Arabidopsis thaliana: one gene and its partner. The protein of the gene in region 1 purifies or fractionates together with the protein of each later gene. This does not show direct contact. Each region holds a gene or a part of one and is shown on either strand. Other genes may lie near its edges. The genes, in order: DWA2 and CUL4.

Region 1 (5,733 bases):
AACCTCTCCAACTAAACGGAGGTCCCCGCTCCTGATCACTTTCTTATCCTTAATTATATATTCCCGAATTTTATGCACTTAAAAATTTAATGTAATACTCCAACATTTAATTAATTGAAAGTTAGTGAAAAGAATTTATAAGGTAAGGAAGTTCAAAAGAGTCGATAAATTACCTTAATGCCATTGGGCGAATTCATAGGTGTGAGGACTCGAACCATCGGCTCAGTCTCATTGATTGGCTTAGGCTCAAAGATACGAACCCAAGCAAGTCTTGGTGCGTCCTTAAGTAACCGAAGTTTGAAAGAATTTTTGTCGAGAGGACTATTAAGAAACAAATCAGCATTAGGATAAACCCTCAAGATCTTCTCCATAATCGACGGTCCGGTTAACTCAAACCGCCTCGCTCCTCCTACCAAACACACCGCAATCTTCGACTTAACCAACTCCTCCCTCTTCCTCCGCCGTCGATTTTCCATCTCCTCCGCTTGGATAACGTCGTTAGGGTTCGAATCTGACAATTCGACGGTGAAATCGGTGACGGTTAGGGTATGAGTGTAGATTAGGTTACGAAGAGGGGCTAGAGTTGGAAAAGGATCAAGTGAGAGAGATGAGAAAGAGATTAAGACGAGGAGGGTGAGAGATGGGATTATGAGAAGGAGGAGAAGACGACGATCGACGTCGGAGATTCTCCTGGAAACGTACATAACGGCGGCGTAAGTGATCGTAACCCTAATCTGTGAGAATAACCACCACCGTGGATTGTTCACACACGTTTCATTTGCCGAGAGAGAGATTTTTGTATTTATAGAGTTTTGATTTTCTTCAAAACTTTTGAAGTGATTCGGAGAGGCGCTGGTTTGTTGGAGTGGAAGGTGAAATCAACATTACGCGTGGGTTTGGTTTTCGTTTTCTCTTTTCTTCTAGAGAGAGATATGAAATATCTATGTAGCTCTGTATAAAACCGATGCATAATTAATTAAAATATACGTATTTGATTACGTTTTCAAAAAGGAAATGATCAATGTTACTTTTGTTTTTTTCACGTTTCTTTGTTTGCTTAGTAAATAATTTATGAATGTTTGAAATACTTTGGTGAATAGTTTTAGTGCTCGATCGTTACAGTAATCAATTCGAATAAACTCTTCACTAAATATGCTCGTTACAGTCTTCACGTTTATTGTAACTGTTAGACCCCCACTCATTGTGTATTAGGGGATGTTGACAAGTATATTGAAGAGATTGATATCTTGAAAGGCGTACGTGGACTAGTAAAGAAATGGATAGTTTGGGTTGCAAGAAAAGTTTTACTTTTTGTATTCAACAAAAGGAAAAGAAAAGTATTTTTTGTTATCCAAGATATGACTTTATGTAGTATATTCATTTGAGAGCATTGTATTAATTAGAATGTTCACATATATCAATATATAATTATATATAGAATTTGCTCTTCAATTGTAAAGAAGAAATGAGGTTCCAAATTTGTTATTAGTGCTCTAAACATATATTTTTATTACCTTAGAAATTAATATATAATATTTCTTTCTTTGCTTTCCCATGACTTTTTACTGTTTTTGGTAACAAGATAATACTTTCCCTAGTATATAAGATTTTTAAAGCTTTTTTGTTGTTGTTCCCAATTAGTTTTTCTCTAGTTTCTAGTCATAATTTATATTAATTCCATAGTTTATGATTATTTAAATTATGCAGTATTTTTTATTGGTTAAATTTTTATTAATGATAAAACATGTGATTTTAGCCAAAACATCTAATAAAATGGGACATATGGAGTACTACAATAGTGATAGATCTTTTATTTACCTGTTTATTATATATGAATCTATTCAATTTTCATTTATTTACATGTTTATTTAAATTATTTATTTAATTTGCATCTAAAATTTGCAAAACTATTGTTGGGCCATGAGTGTCAACTGTCAAATGTCAACCATAGAAGCAAAAATAAAACAGTTTATGATTCAGTTTGTAAAAGTGGGCTTATTTAAATGAATATTGGCCCATTAGTATCATCTTCACGAAACCCAGCAAAATCAGAGAGCGGCAAATCGTTGAAGAGAGATCTTCTTCTTCCTGAATCCGTAACGTTAGCTCAGGCGTAAGAGCATAATGCAAGGAGGATCATCGGGTATTGGTTATGGTTTGAAGTATCAGGTAGTTCACGATCTTCTTCATGCCCGATCCTTTGTCAATTTACGAGCTTTCTTAATGGTGGAAAATTTGCTGTTTTCAGGCCAGATGTATATCGGATGTTAAAGCAGATAGAGATCACACTAGCTTCCTCACTGGAACCCTAAGCTTGAAAGAAGAAAATGAGGTGATTGATTCTTAAGATCTGTTTCGTTCTATTTCTGGATCGGAAGATTCTGACTTTGTTAAATTTTAAGGTTCATTTGCTTCGTTTGTCTTCTGGTGGATCTGAGCTGTTATGTGAGGGATTGTTCTCGCATCCTAATGAAATTTGGGACCTTGCTTCTTCCCCTTTTGATCAACGCATTTTCTCTACTGTCTTCTCCACTGGTAATTCTCATCATCTCGAAACTTCTAATTTTGAGTTGATTTGAAGTAAAAAAAATCGGACTTTTCCGATTGAATGCATAAAGTTTCAGAAATTGAAACTACAGTGTTGTCAGAGGAGAATTACAGTGTTGTTGTTTTCAATTTCAAGGCGACTCATATGGAGCAGCAATATGGCAGATTCCTGAGCCATATGGTCAATCGAATTCTTCAACATTGGAATGTGTTGCTTCCCTTGATGCACATGTTGGTAAGATTAATTGGTGAGTTCATTGTTTACAGTTTCAGCAGTCTATCTACTGGGTGTGCTTATAAGTGCGGTGGTTTAAAAAGTCTTAGAACTTGTAACTTTCTTATCTTCACTTTCATGAAGACTCTCTATACCTCTTGTGGAAACAGCGTTCTTTGGTGTCCCTCTGGAAATTCTGACAAGTTAATCAGCATGGATGAACAAAATCTTGTCTTCTGGAGTTTAGACTCTTCAAAGAAAAGTGCGGAGGTGATTGTTGCTACAACAAGAGAAAGGATAAACCCATTAAATCATTTTTGCCTCCTGTGTTTTTAGACCACCTTTGAGGTACTTTCCGCTTAATCATCTTTTTTGCTAATTATAGGTTTTATCTAAGGAGTCAGCTGGTATGCGTCATTCTTTATCTGGTGGAGCATGGAATCCACATGATGTGAATTCTGTTGCAGCAACTTCTGAATCATCTATCCAGTTTTGGGACTTACGTACTATGAAGTATGTCATATTTGTTCCTCTCTTATGTTCGCATGAAAGTTAATATACTGTATTCCTGCATGCACAGCTAGCGTGTTTCCTCTAGTCAATAGTTTGTCATTATTAATTTTTGGGTTCCAAAATCAGATACCTTTATGTTGAGCTTGATATGTTTGCATATTTACAGGAAGAATAATTCAATTGAACGTGCCCATGTACGTAATGTTGACTACAATCTCAAGAGAGAACATATACTCGTAAGATTTCTCTCTCTGTATGCAAATATTTTAAATGCTTGTCAAGCAATTCCAACAAAGAATTACACAGTGCTCCAAAGTTAGAAAACAATCTGTTATATAGATTGCAAATGGGTAGGAACAAGGAAGTAATTGTGTCATTTCTGATTTAATTTTTTCTTCATAGCAAGAACTTTTTATCTGAAAGGTAGTAGGTCCCCTATTTACAGAAATGGTATCAGATGGTTCTATTTATGCATTGGACTGTCGATTGTGTAGGTTTCTGCGGATGATGAATCTGGTATACATCTCTGGGATCTTCGGAAGACAAAGTTTCCTGTGCAAGAGCTCCCTGGTCATACACACTGGTAATTTACCTCTAAACTCATTTTTGTGGATTATTATTTTTTCTCTTCCATGATTCTGCTTCATATGCACACAAATCTAATGCTTTCGACCTGAAATTTTGTTTCTAGCGTGACTGTTCTTTCTGAATTTTCTTTACAGGACATGGGCTGTCAGGTGTAACCCTGAGTATGAAGAGCTAATTCTGGTACCCATTTTCTCTTACCTTTTTTCTCTTAGCACAGTCGAACGAATCTAAATTGTTATTGTGCTTGTCACTACTGACAGCTTTAAGCTGCTAGTCGATGATTCTAGAACAATTTCTGTCACTCACAATGTATATTTAAAGTGTCAGTTTCTGATAAATTAACCAAACACAGAGCGTTGGAACAGACTCAGCTGTCAACTTGTGGTTTGCTTCAGCATCTAGTGAGCATAAAACATCAGAAAGGTTAATTCTCTTTATTATCGCACACAACAATTTTTCCAACTTTGTTTTGAACTTTTATTCTAATGCCGATGCTGTGCAGCCCGGTGGAAGCATCACGTCAGCGTGTGAACCCGTTACTAAACTCTTATACTGACTACGAAGACAGTGTCTACGGTAACTCTTGGAACAAACTGAGTTTAGTTACCACAATTTCCCACTAAAACTGCATGAAGTCACTATATAATTGCTGTCACAGGCCTTGCTTGGAGCTCGCGTGAGCCTTGGATTTTTGCATCATTGTCATATGACGGTAGGGTAAGTGACTTTGCTTTTGACAACAACCTAAAGAACTATGGAGAACTAAGAAATAGACGATTTATTACCCCAAACAATTCTAAATTCTGAAAGCAGTTTGGAGAGTTCATCTCATAATTTTGGTGTTTGCTTATGTTAGGTTGTGATCGAATCCGTCAAGCCTTTCCTGCCAAGAAGATAGGTCCCGATGGAAGAAGGCTTCAAAGAAAAAGCTGCATTCATATGCTATCATTTAAGACAAATTTTGAATGTTTTTATAATAATCACAACATCAAAACTATTCTTCTACAGTTCTTCAACTTTTACTCGTGTCTTTGTTCATCTCTATCTCTCAGCACAAGGCACAAAGATGTAAAACCAAACCTCGTGAAAATACTTTGGTACAAAGTCAATGAACCTGCTGCTATAATTCAGTTTATTGTAAAGAAAATATTCGGATCAAGTAATCACCGGTGTCATAATGCTACACATGCCTACTTGTTTTCCCTTTTTCTATAGCTACTTTCTCTGGTAAAGCCACAATTCCGAGTACTAAAATATGACTGAAAAAAATTGATCTGTCCTCAGATCCTGATAAACAAAACAATGCTCTATCGCGTGGTTCTATGTACAGGAGACATTACATGCAAAATGGTGACAACAAGGCTTAGCACCAAGGTTGGAAAACTCACTGTGAAGTGCCCAAGCAGAGGACAGATTCAGTGTAGTGATGTGAAGGTCACTGATGCGTATCTAACTAATCTGATAGCATTGCTTCAAGCTCAGGCTCATCAGAGGTAGATGGATCATCGTAATCTAAACTTGTCCCGTTGTATAATCCTCTGTCCTGAAGATCACTCTGTTCTTCCTCATAGTCTGGCTCCGACCAATCTGGGTCATCCTCTTCGGTTTGATCATCATTGGTTACAGTTACTGCTGCGTCTTTATTAGTGGATTTGTTTTTCTTTCCAAGTTTTCTAGATTCTAATTGCGCCTTTGCCTTAGCCTCTGTATCTTCGCATATGCACGTGGATGGGTTTTCGTGAAATTCACCTCTACCAGCTCTTACTTCCTTTGGCTCTCCCATGAACCCTCTCTGAAACGAACGGACTTTAGATGAAAACTCCTCCCATGTCGTGTTCTCTTTGTTCATGAATAATCTGTAAAGCTTTTTT
Region 2 (7,804 bases), on another chromosome or scaffold:
CAAAGCTAAAATTGTTCAATTGTTTGTTTTATGTCAAGCTTACAATTTTTCAATAACTCCTCATTTTCACATGTTTGCATGTGAAAATATTGATCCAACGATCCAAGAGACTTACAATTTGCTATTATTAGTATCAATTGGGATTAATTGAGAAATTCTATAGTCTTGAAACATGAATAAAGAAAAAATAAATGTGTTGACATGTTAATGAGGGATTAAAGAAATAAAAAAAAATTATTAGTAAGTTTAAGCGAGGTGAGAATGTAATGAACACCATTTTGTATTAGTAATTATACAATTCCATAGGCTAATCAACATGTAATAAAAAGTTTTAAGACCATGCAGTCGTTGAGGCTGTGGCTGTAATAATATTCATCCTTGCAATTGCGACTTAAAAACCAGCCATGTTTTTTGGCCCAAGAACCCTCACTAATCAAAACACATTCGCACAACAGCACAAGTTATATGAGTTCGCCAATTGGTACGTCTCGGTAACACTTGTAAGACCATCTCCATCGGAATATCTGATTGAGATACTCATCAATTAAATAATAATTAAAAAGAGAAAAAGTATGAGAGAAGAAGAGAAAAGTGGAGAAACTGGCAAGAGAGACTATTCTCAGCATTTATTGAGAGTTGTCATTCAATTAATAGTTCATTTACTTCAAACTAATTAAAATATATTAATTTGATTAAAATATTAATTTATTTACTTTTTGAGATACTCTCTACCACTTTTGCCGATGGAGATGCTCTAACAATCTCATCTCGTCTCTTATCTGCTTGATAGGCTTCGGTTAAACCTTTGTAATCAGGCCCAAAGTATTAACTCCTGTAAATAATTTGATAAGCCCATATTTTGTAATCAGAACCAAACCCTAAACCGGAAGTCCAAAAACCCTGTGGAGCAGCAAGTCAACACGCCCCACATTGGCTAATCCATGACATCGATCATATTATATTTATTCATATTGTCAAGTGATGATTCTTCGTTCATGTCTTTTAACATCACACAATTTTCTGCCTGAAATTACCGACTGCTAAAAGTATTTAATCATCTCTATTTTTATCTCCATTCTCCACGTTATAGGTGAGTCTATTTTATAGGCATTTTATTCTAATATATTCTTTTAAAATAGTTTTTTTTAAAAAATAAAAGAAATATATGGAAAAAAAATCAACTCAATTTTCTTTAAAATAAAAATAAAAATATATATCAAAAATGATCTAAATATCAAGCATCGACTCGTGTGATCGATTCTTTATTCTTTAAATCGTAAAATGACTTAATAAAAATTCGACTCTAAAAATATACAATAGATATGATTTATCAGTTGTCAAAAACTAAAAATAAAAAGTAGTTAAAATTTAAAAGTAGTTATAAAAAATAACCATACAAAACAGGCAACAATTGATTATTATTTTTTATTTTTTTGTTTTTCACTTTTGTGATTAGTAACCATTAAAACAACGCACATCTAATCATTGCGGTATATGTCTATTTTTATCAATAATATTTTTTTTATCATATAGTAATTATGATTTATGAATGTATAAATAAAATAATTCTGATTTTATTCAGAGTATATAAATAAACAAAAAATCTTCATTTCTCGGGTCGGGTCTAAATCGCGAGTTTTCGCGTAGGTTTGAGCAAAAAAAAAAAGAGAGAGAGTGCACAGTGCGCTTTTGGTAGAGAGAAAGGGTTGTTATTATTTAGGATTGATGTCTTCTTCTTCCTCTTCGTGATTCTCTCACACAATTTTCACCCATTTTCATGTCTCTTCCTACCAAACGCTCTACTTTCTCCGCCGCTTCTGCCTCCGACGACTCTTCTTACTCTTCTCCTCCGATGAAAAAGGCCAAAAACGACCTCCACCATTCCCCTCAACACCCTAATACCGCCGACAAGGTTGTTGGCTTTCATATGGAGGAAGATCCAACTCCCGCCGCCGCTAATCTCTCTCGGAAGAAAGCTACACTTCCGCAACCTACTAAGAAGTTTGTAATCAAGCTCAATAAAGGTTTCGCTCGATTTCGATTTCTTTCATCTTTACGATTTTGATCGTAATCTTAGGATTTGATTTGGGTCTTTTACTCTACTGTGCAATTGATGCTCTGGATTGATTTGAAATGATACAATTGTTAAGGTTCGTGATTTTTAGGGTTTTCATTGGCTTGCGATTGATGGAAGTTTTGTGTGAGTTTTGATGTTAAATTACAGTGGAAAATTGAGTGTGACTGTTGAATTTTGATGTGAATGAGTGATTTGGGTTTTTGTATTTCTTCTAAGTTGGAATCTCTTTGTCTAGCCTGATCTAGGTACTTAAGATCCGGAATCTTTGTTGTGCACAATCTAGTTGGCTTAGCTCTCACCAAACCTAATTTGTGCCATTAGAAAACATCTTGAGAATCATCTTTACTGTGACTGGCTAGCAAATTGAAGATAAAAGTGTTTTCATAATTAGGGTTCTGATTGTACCATTTGTATTATATATGTGAAGCCAAACCAACTCTACCAACAAACTTTGAGGAGAATACATGGGAGAAGTTGCAGTCAGCTATCAGAGCTATATTCCTCAAAAAAAAAATTTCGTTTGACCTCGAGAGCCTTTACCAGGTTAGGTTACGTGCAAATTTACTTACTTCCTTTCTTATTCGTATGTGTAAATGTCGTGCTGATGAGATTGTGATTGTTTTTTCAGGCTGTTGATAACCTTTGCTTGCATAAGTTGGATGGAAAGCTTTATGACCAGATTGAGAAGGAGTGTGAAGAACACATCTCTGCAGCTTTGCAATCTTTAGTTGGGCAGAACACTGATCTGACTGTTTTCTTGTCACGTGTTGAGAAATGCTGGCAAGACTTTTGTGACCAGATGCTCATGATTCGTAGTATAGCCTTGACTCTGGATAGGAAGTATGTGATACAGAATCCAAATGTACGTTCATTATGGGAGATGGGTTTGCAGCTTTTCCGGAAGCATCTTTCTCTGGCCCCTGAAGTTGAGCAGAGGACGGTTAAAGGTCTCTTAAGTATGATTGAAAAAGAAAGGTAAATTTTTAACCTTCTGGTCTTCCAAAATTAAACGAGGGTTGATTTATCACATTGAGAATATAATTTCATAAAGCCACTTTACCTCAACTTATTTTTCTGGCTTTTGAGTGAATATGGTAAGTTTGGATGGTCTATGAACTATTCCTGTCTAGCAGTGATAACTTGTTATAGGTAAAATTTCAAGGCAAATCAGGACTAGTGTATGTCATTTATATATTGGATAATGTTTTCATCTGAATCTGCTGAACTTTCTTGCATGATATTGGTCCTGCAGGTTAGCAGAAGCTGTTAATAGGACTCTACTAAGCCATCTTTTGAAGATGTTTACTGCACTGGGAATTTATATGGAAAGCTTTGAGAAACCTTTCCTTGAAGGGACCTCTGAATTTTATGCCGCTGAAGGAATGAAATACATGCAGCAGTCTGACGTTCCGGAGTACCTGAAGCATGTTGAGGTGCCTTGCATGACTTCATATAGTTTCCTTATGATTAGCTGCACTACAGGTTAATAGTCTTTCTAAGGTTTCTACTGGTGATTGGTGCAGGGAAGGTTGCATGAAGAGAATGAGAGATGCATACTCTACATAGATGCAGTAACCAGGAAACCATTGATCACAACTGTTGAAAGGCAACTTCTCGAACGTCATATACTTGTTGTTCTTGAAAAGGTTCCAATCTCCTATTATTCTTGTGTTGGCTTGCATATTATCCAATTTTAGTTTGTCGTAGTCTTACTTTATTTCTGAACATCTTCAGGGTTTTACAACATTAATGGATGGACGTCGTACGGAGGACCTTCAGAGGATGCAAACCTTGTTTTCTAGGGTCAATGCACTTGAGTCTCTGAGGCAGGCGCTAAGTTCATATGTTCGGAAAACTGGGCAGAAGATTGTTATGGATGAAGAGAAAGACAAAGATATGGTACAATCACTGTTGGACTTCAAGGCTTCTCTTGACATAATATGGGAAGAGAGCTTTTACAAGAACGAATCATTTGGTAACACAATCAAAGATTCGTTTGAGCATCTGATTAATCTTCGACAGGTATCAAATAGTGATTTTCTTGATTATTGCCTGAGTCTCTTGCTAATAATTTTACTTTCATGTAAAAGCAACATACTGATTATTGTGGAAATGTCAACCTTAAATTACAATTGTGAAATCGAGAAATTTATATTTTATAATAATCTATAGATTTCGTTACTGATTAAGCACTGTATTGCTATGATTTGGAGACATCTTTGGGCAGTGAATACTATTTTCAAACATAATTTTGAGATCAAGCTTCTTGTGGGCACTGGACCTGATCACAGTAGTGTTGTTTGCTAATATATATCACTTTGGATACCAAATACTCTGATTTAGCAAGCATCCCAAATAATATACATCTTATGCTGATAATCTTTTTTACAGAACCGGCCAGCTGAGCTTATTGCCAAGTTTTTGGACGAGAAACTCCGTGCTGGGAATAAGGGTACTTCTGAAGAAGAATTGGAGAGTGTTCTTGAAAAAGTCTTGGTTTTGTTCAGATTTATCCAGGTTATCTCTAATTTCTTACATTTAGTACTGTGTTTGTCACTGTAAATCACTGCTTCGAGGCCAGTGCATGGTCTGTAAACCAGCTATTTGATCTTCTGGATATCGGTTTTGCTGATGGATTTTTATTATTTATCAAAGGGTAAAGATGTGTTCGAAGCATTTTACAAAAAGGATCTTGCGAAGAGACTCCTGTTGGGAAAGAGTGCTTCAATCGATGCTGAGAAATCCATGATCTCTAAGGTTAAAAACTGATTTATATTCTGGGTGTTTCCCTTTCCCACAATTTGTTTTCTATATCTGTAGTTCTCACCCACTGATCCCAACCTTGGTTTTACCTACAGCTTAAGACTGAGTGTGGTAGCCAGTTTACAAACAAGCTCGAAGGGATGTTCAAGGTATCCTTTCTTCTCCTTCTCTATATTCAAAAAAGATGTTGGTCGTTTAAGTTTTACTAAGGAACAAACTTAATGATCTTATATTTTGTTACGTTTTACGATATACCCCGGTATACATATTCATTGTTAATCCAATCTAAGACAGGATTGGCGGATGATCCTGCTCCATACTTATTTTAATGAACTTGTGTACATTTACAATAATCCTAATGAGCTTGAACTCTCCGTTTTATTGAAATTTTCTCCAGGATATTGAATTGTCAAAGGAAATCAACGAGTCATTCAAACAATCTTCCCAGGCCAGAACAAAACTGCCATCGGGAATTGAGATGAGTGTCCACGTTTTAACAACAGGGTATGTACAATGTATCAATTTTATCCAGGATATAACTGCTGGAATGCGGATATCATGACATATATAAAGCTTGTTAACTTCCCGTCTATAATACAGGTACTGGCCAACATATCCGCCTATGGATGTTAAGCTTCCTCATGAACTAAATGTCTATCAGGTTTTACTAAAAGTTCTTCTTATGTATTTTTTTTTGTTTCCTCGTTGGACGTTTTCTTACAAGCTTTTTCTAAGCTATCTGTATGTTTCGTAGGATATCTTCAAAGAGTTCTATTTAAGCAAGTACAGTGGTAGGAGGTTAATGTGGCAAAATTCATTAGGCCACTGTGTTTTAAAGGCAGATTTCTCCAAAGGTAAAAAGGAGCTGGCTGTTTCCCTGTTTCAGGTCAGTCAAATTTTTTTTCCCCCCCCCCCCCTTTTAAGCTCTTTCCTGTCTTCCCGAGGTTACAGTGTTAATCAATTGCTCTTTTCTTTTTGTCTCAGGCTGTTGTGTTAATGTTATTTAACGATGCAATGAAACTTAGCTTTGAAGACATTAAAGATTCCACCAGCATAGAGGACAAGGAGCTGAGGAGGACTTTGCAGTCGCTTGCTTGTGGGAAAGTCCGTGTCCTGCAGAAGGTTTGGCCAAAATCTGGACTCTGTTAACTCTCTTTTCAGCTAATGCAGAAACTGCCGAGATTATGGCTTTGCCTTTTTCCATAAGGATAAGCCTTATTGTGTAAATATTTTTGCAGAATCCTAAGGGAAGAGATGTAGAAGACGGTGATGAATTTGAATTTAATGATGAGTTTGCAGCTCCGCTGTATCGCATTAAGGTACGTTGGTTTTTTTCTTGGTCTCTTCACTTAAAGTATCCTAGAATCTTGTGATACTGTTTTGTATGTAGCTTATAGTGAAGCAATTCTTTCTTTTGTTCCTGGGTGCAGGTAAATGCGATCCAGATGAAAGAGACAGTAGAGGAGAACACAAGTACAACGGAAAGAGTATTCCAGGACCGACAATACCAGGTTGGTTTCTGCTCTCCATTTTCCTTTACGATACTAATTTCTGAAATCGTTCTTACAACTTTGGCTTCTTAAACAAGAAAAGATTTTGACAAAATGGTTTTCCCCATCACACCCTTCTCTTACAGATCGATGCAGCCATTGTTCGTATTATGAAGACAAGAAAAGTCTTGAGCCATACTCTTCTAATCACTGAGCTCTTCCAACAGGTAAATTTCACTCCTGCTTGATGATTTTAAAATCCGAAATAACATGTCGGTTTATGAAAAAAGAAAGCATGAAATTCGTTACTAGGTCCAGTCCTATTGGTAATATACTCGTGATGATGATTAGAGTTCTCAGTAGTCTACTAAATTTAATATACCATTGCTATGAATGGATATATGTTTGTGATTTGCAGCTCAAATTCCCGATAAAGCCTGCTGATCTGAAGAAGAGGATTGAGAGCTTGATCGATCGAGAATATTTGGAGAGGGAAAAAAGCAACCCTCAGATATACAATTATCTTGCTTAGAATCTCTTTGGTAAACACACCTTTTGAATATTTTCCTTTTTGTATATTTATTGACAAACAAACGATGACCGAAATTTTCTTATCAGTTTGAAAAAAAAAAAGAACTCTCGATATTCCAATCATCTCTATTCTCGCTGTTCCGCCCGTTCTTATGTACAGCCTTAAGTTCTATTTCTTACTTTGATTCACTTTTCCTCGGTTCTCACTTTTTTTTTTTTTTTGAACATACTTTCTTGGGACTTCTTTGTTTTCAGATTTTTATACAACTTAAAAGATGTTTTTGTTTCCCTACAAAAATAACTGATTTGTTTTAAAAAAATTCAAACTTCCAATAAAGTTCCTAAGATAGGTTATATATCTTCGAGGGTTTTCTATGTGCTGATTCCATTTTGTTTTCGTTTTTGAGTTTTATTTGAATGGAGATAGTTCTTAGAGCTTTTTCTTCGTTTTTAGGCAATTAAATCTTAAGTTTAATCGGATTTTTTTTTACACTACATTATAGGCATTTCTGTTTTTACCACTACCAAATAACTAAAGAAAGAACAGAGAGAATCAAATTGCTTACTTGATGAACGTCCCTAACGACATTTAACTATGGCTGATCAATATTGTACGCAACTGAAAGACAATTGAATAAAATTCATACTACGGTTTGTGAAATAGTTAAATGTATCTACACGTACATTTAAGAAAAATGGAAATATATTGACTCATCGTCCAACTGCTTCAATCTAGTGACTCCACAGCTTTTTAGTTCGGGTTTCATACTGTAGTAGGAAAGTAAACGAACTATGTAAAGAAAATTGGATTTCAGAAAAAAATAATTATTTGATGAAAAAAAAATTGAATGAAAATGTTGTTTACGAATATTTTTGCTAGTCAAAATTAAAATATTTATAAAATTTATTTGTCTTTAGCTAAAGTTGATGAGACATGAGAGGT

Evidence for each region.
Region 2: the proteins of DWA2 (region 1) and CUL4 purify together in Arabidopsis thaliana (affinity purification with western blotting, with the first as the bait; one study listed by BioGRID). This does not show direct contact.

The regions. Positions count from the first base shown.
Region 1 is NC_003070.9:28,608,239-28,613,971, forward strand, and holds DWA2 (DWD (DDB1-binding WD40 protein) hypersensitive to ABA 2), read left to right. Parts: upstream 1-1,954; 5' UTR 1,955-2,124; coding exon 2,125-2,169; intron 2,170-2,248; coding exon 2,249-2,332; intron 2,333-2,402; coding exon 2,403-2,535; intron 2,536-2,683; coding exon 2,684-2,795; intron 2,796-2,931; coding exon 2,932-3,031; intron 3,032-3,146; coding exon 3,147-3,274; intron 3,275-3,440; coding exon 3,441-3,510; intron 3,511-3,768; coding exon 3,769-3,857; intron 3,858-3,996; coding exon 3,997-4,042; intron 4,043-4,214; coding exon 4,215-4,285; intron 4,286-4,364; coding exon 4,365-4,438; intron 4,439-4,520; coding exon 4,521-4,579; intron 4,580-4,718; coding exon 4,719-4,760; 3' UTR 4,761-5,025; downstream 5,026-5,733. Other genes in the region: AT1G76250 (uncharacterized protein), read right to left, coding at 174-704; AT1G76270 (O-fucosyltransferase family protein), read right to left, coding at 5,316-5,733. UniProt on the Arabidopsis thaliana protein: Component of the CUL4-RBX1-DDB1-DWA1/DWA2 E3 ubiquitin-protein ligase complex that acts as a negative regulator in abscisic acid (ABA) signaling. May function as the substrate recognition module within this complex leading to ABI5 degradation.
Region 2 is NC_003076.8:18,730,627-18,738,430, reverse strand, and holds CUL4 (cullin4), read left to right. Parts: upstream 1-1,615; 5' UTR 1,616-1,777; coding exon 1,778-2,024; intron 2,025-2,504; coding exon 2,505-2,620; intron 2,621-2,705; coding exon 2,706-3,052; intron 3,053-3,329; coding exon 3,330-3,510; intron 3,511-3,600; coding exon 3,601-3,723; intron 3,724-3,811; coding exon 3,812-4,099; intron 4,100-4,468; coding exon 4,469-4,594; intron 4,595-4,732; coding exon 4,733-4,834; intron 4,835-4,935; coding exon 4,936-4,989; intron 4,990-5,237; coding exon 5,238-5,344; intron 5,345-5,440; coding exon 5,441-5,501; intron 5,502-5,594; coding exon 5,595-5,726; intron 5,727-5,824; coding exon 5,825-5,962; intron 5,963-6,078; coding exon 6,079-6,159; intron 6,160-6,270; coding exon 6,271-6,351; intron 6,352-6,476; coding exon 6,477-6,557; intron 6,558-6,748; coding exon 6,749-6,862; 3' UTR 6,863-7,060; downstream 7,061-7,804. UniProt on the Arabidopsis thaliana protein: Component of the CUL4-RBX1-CDD (COP10-DDB1a-DET1) E3 ubiquitin-protein ligase complex which mediates the ubiquitination and subsequent proteasomal degradation of target proteins. Participates in the CDD complex to light-mediated control of development.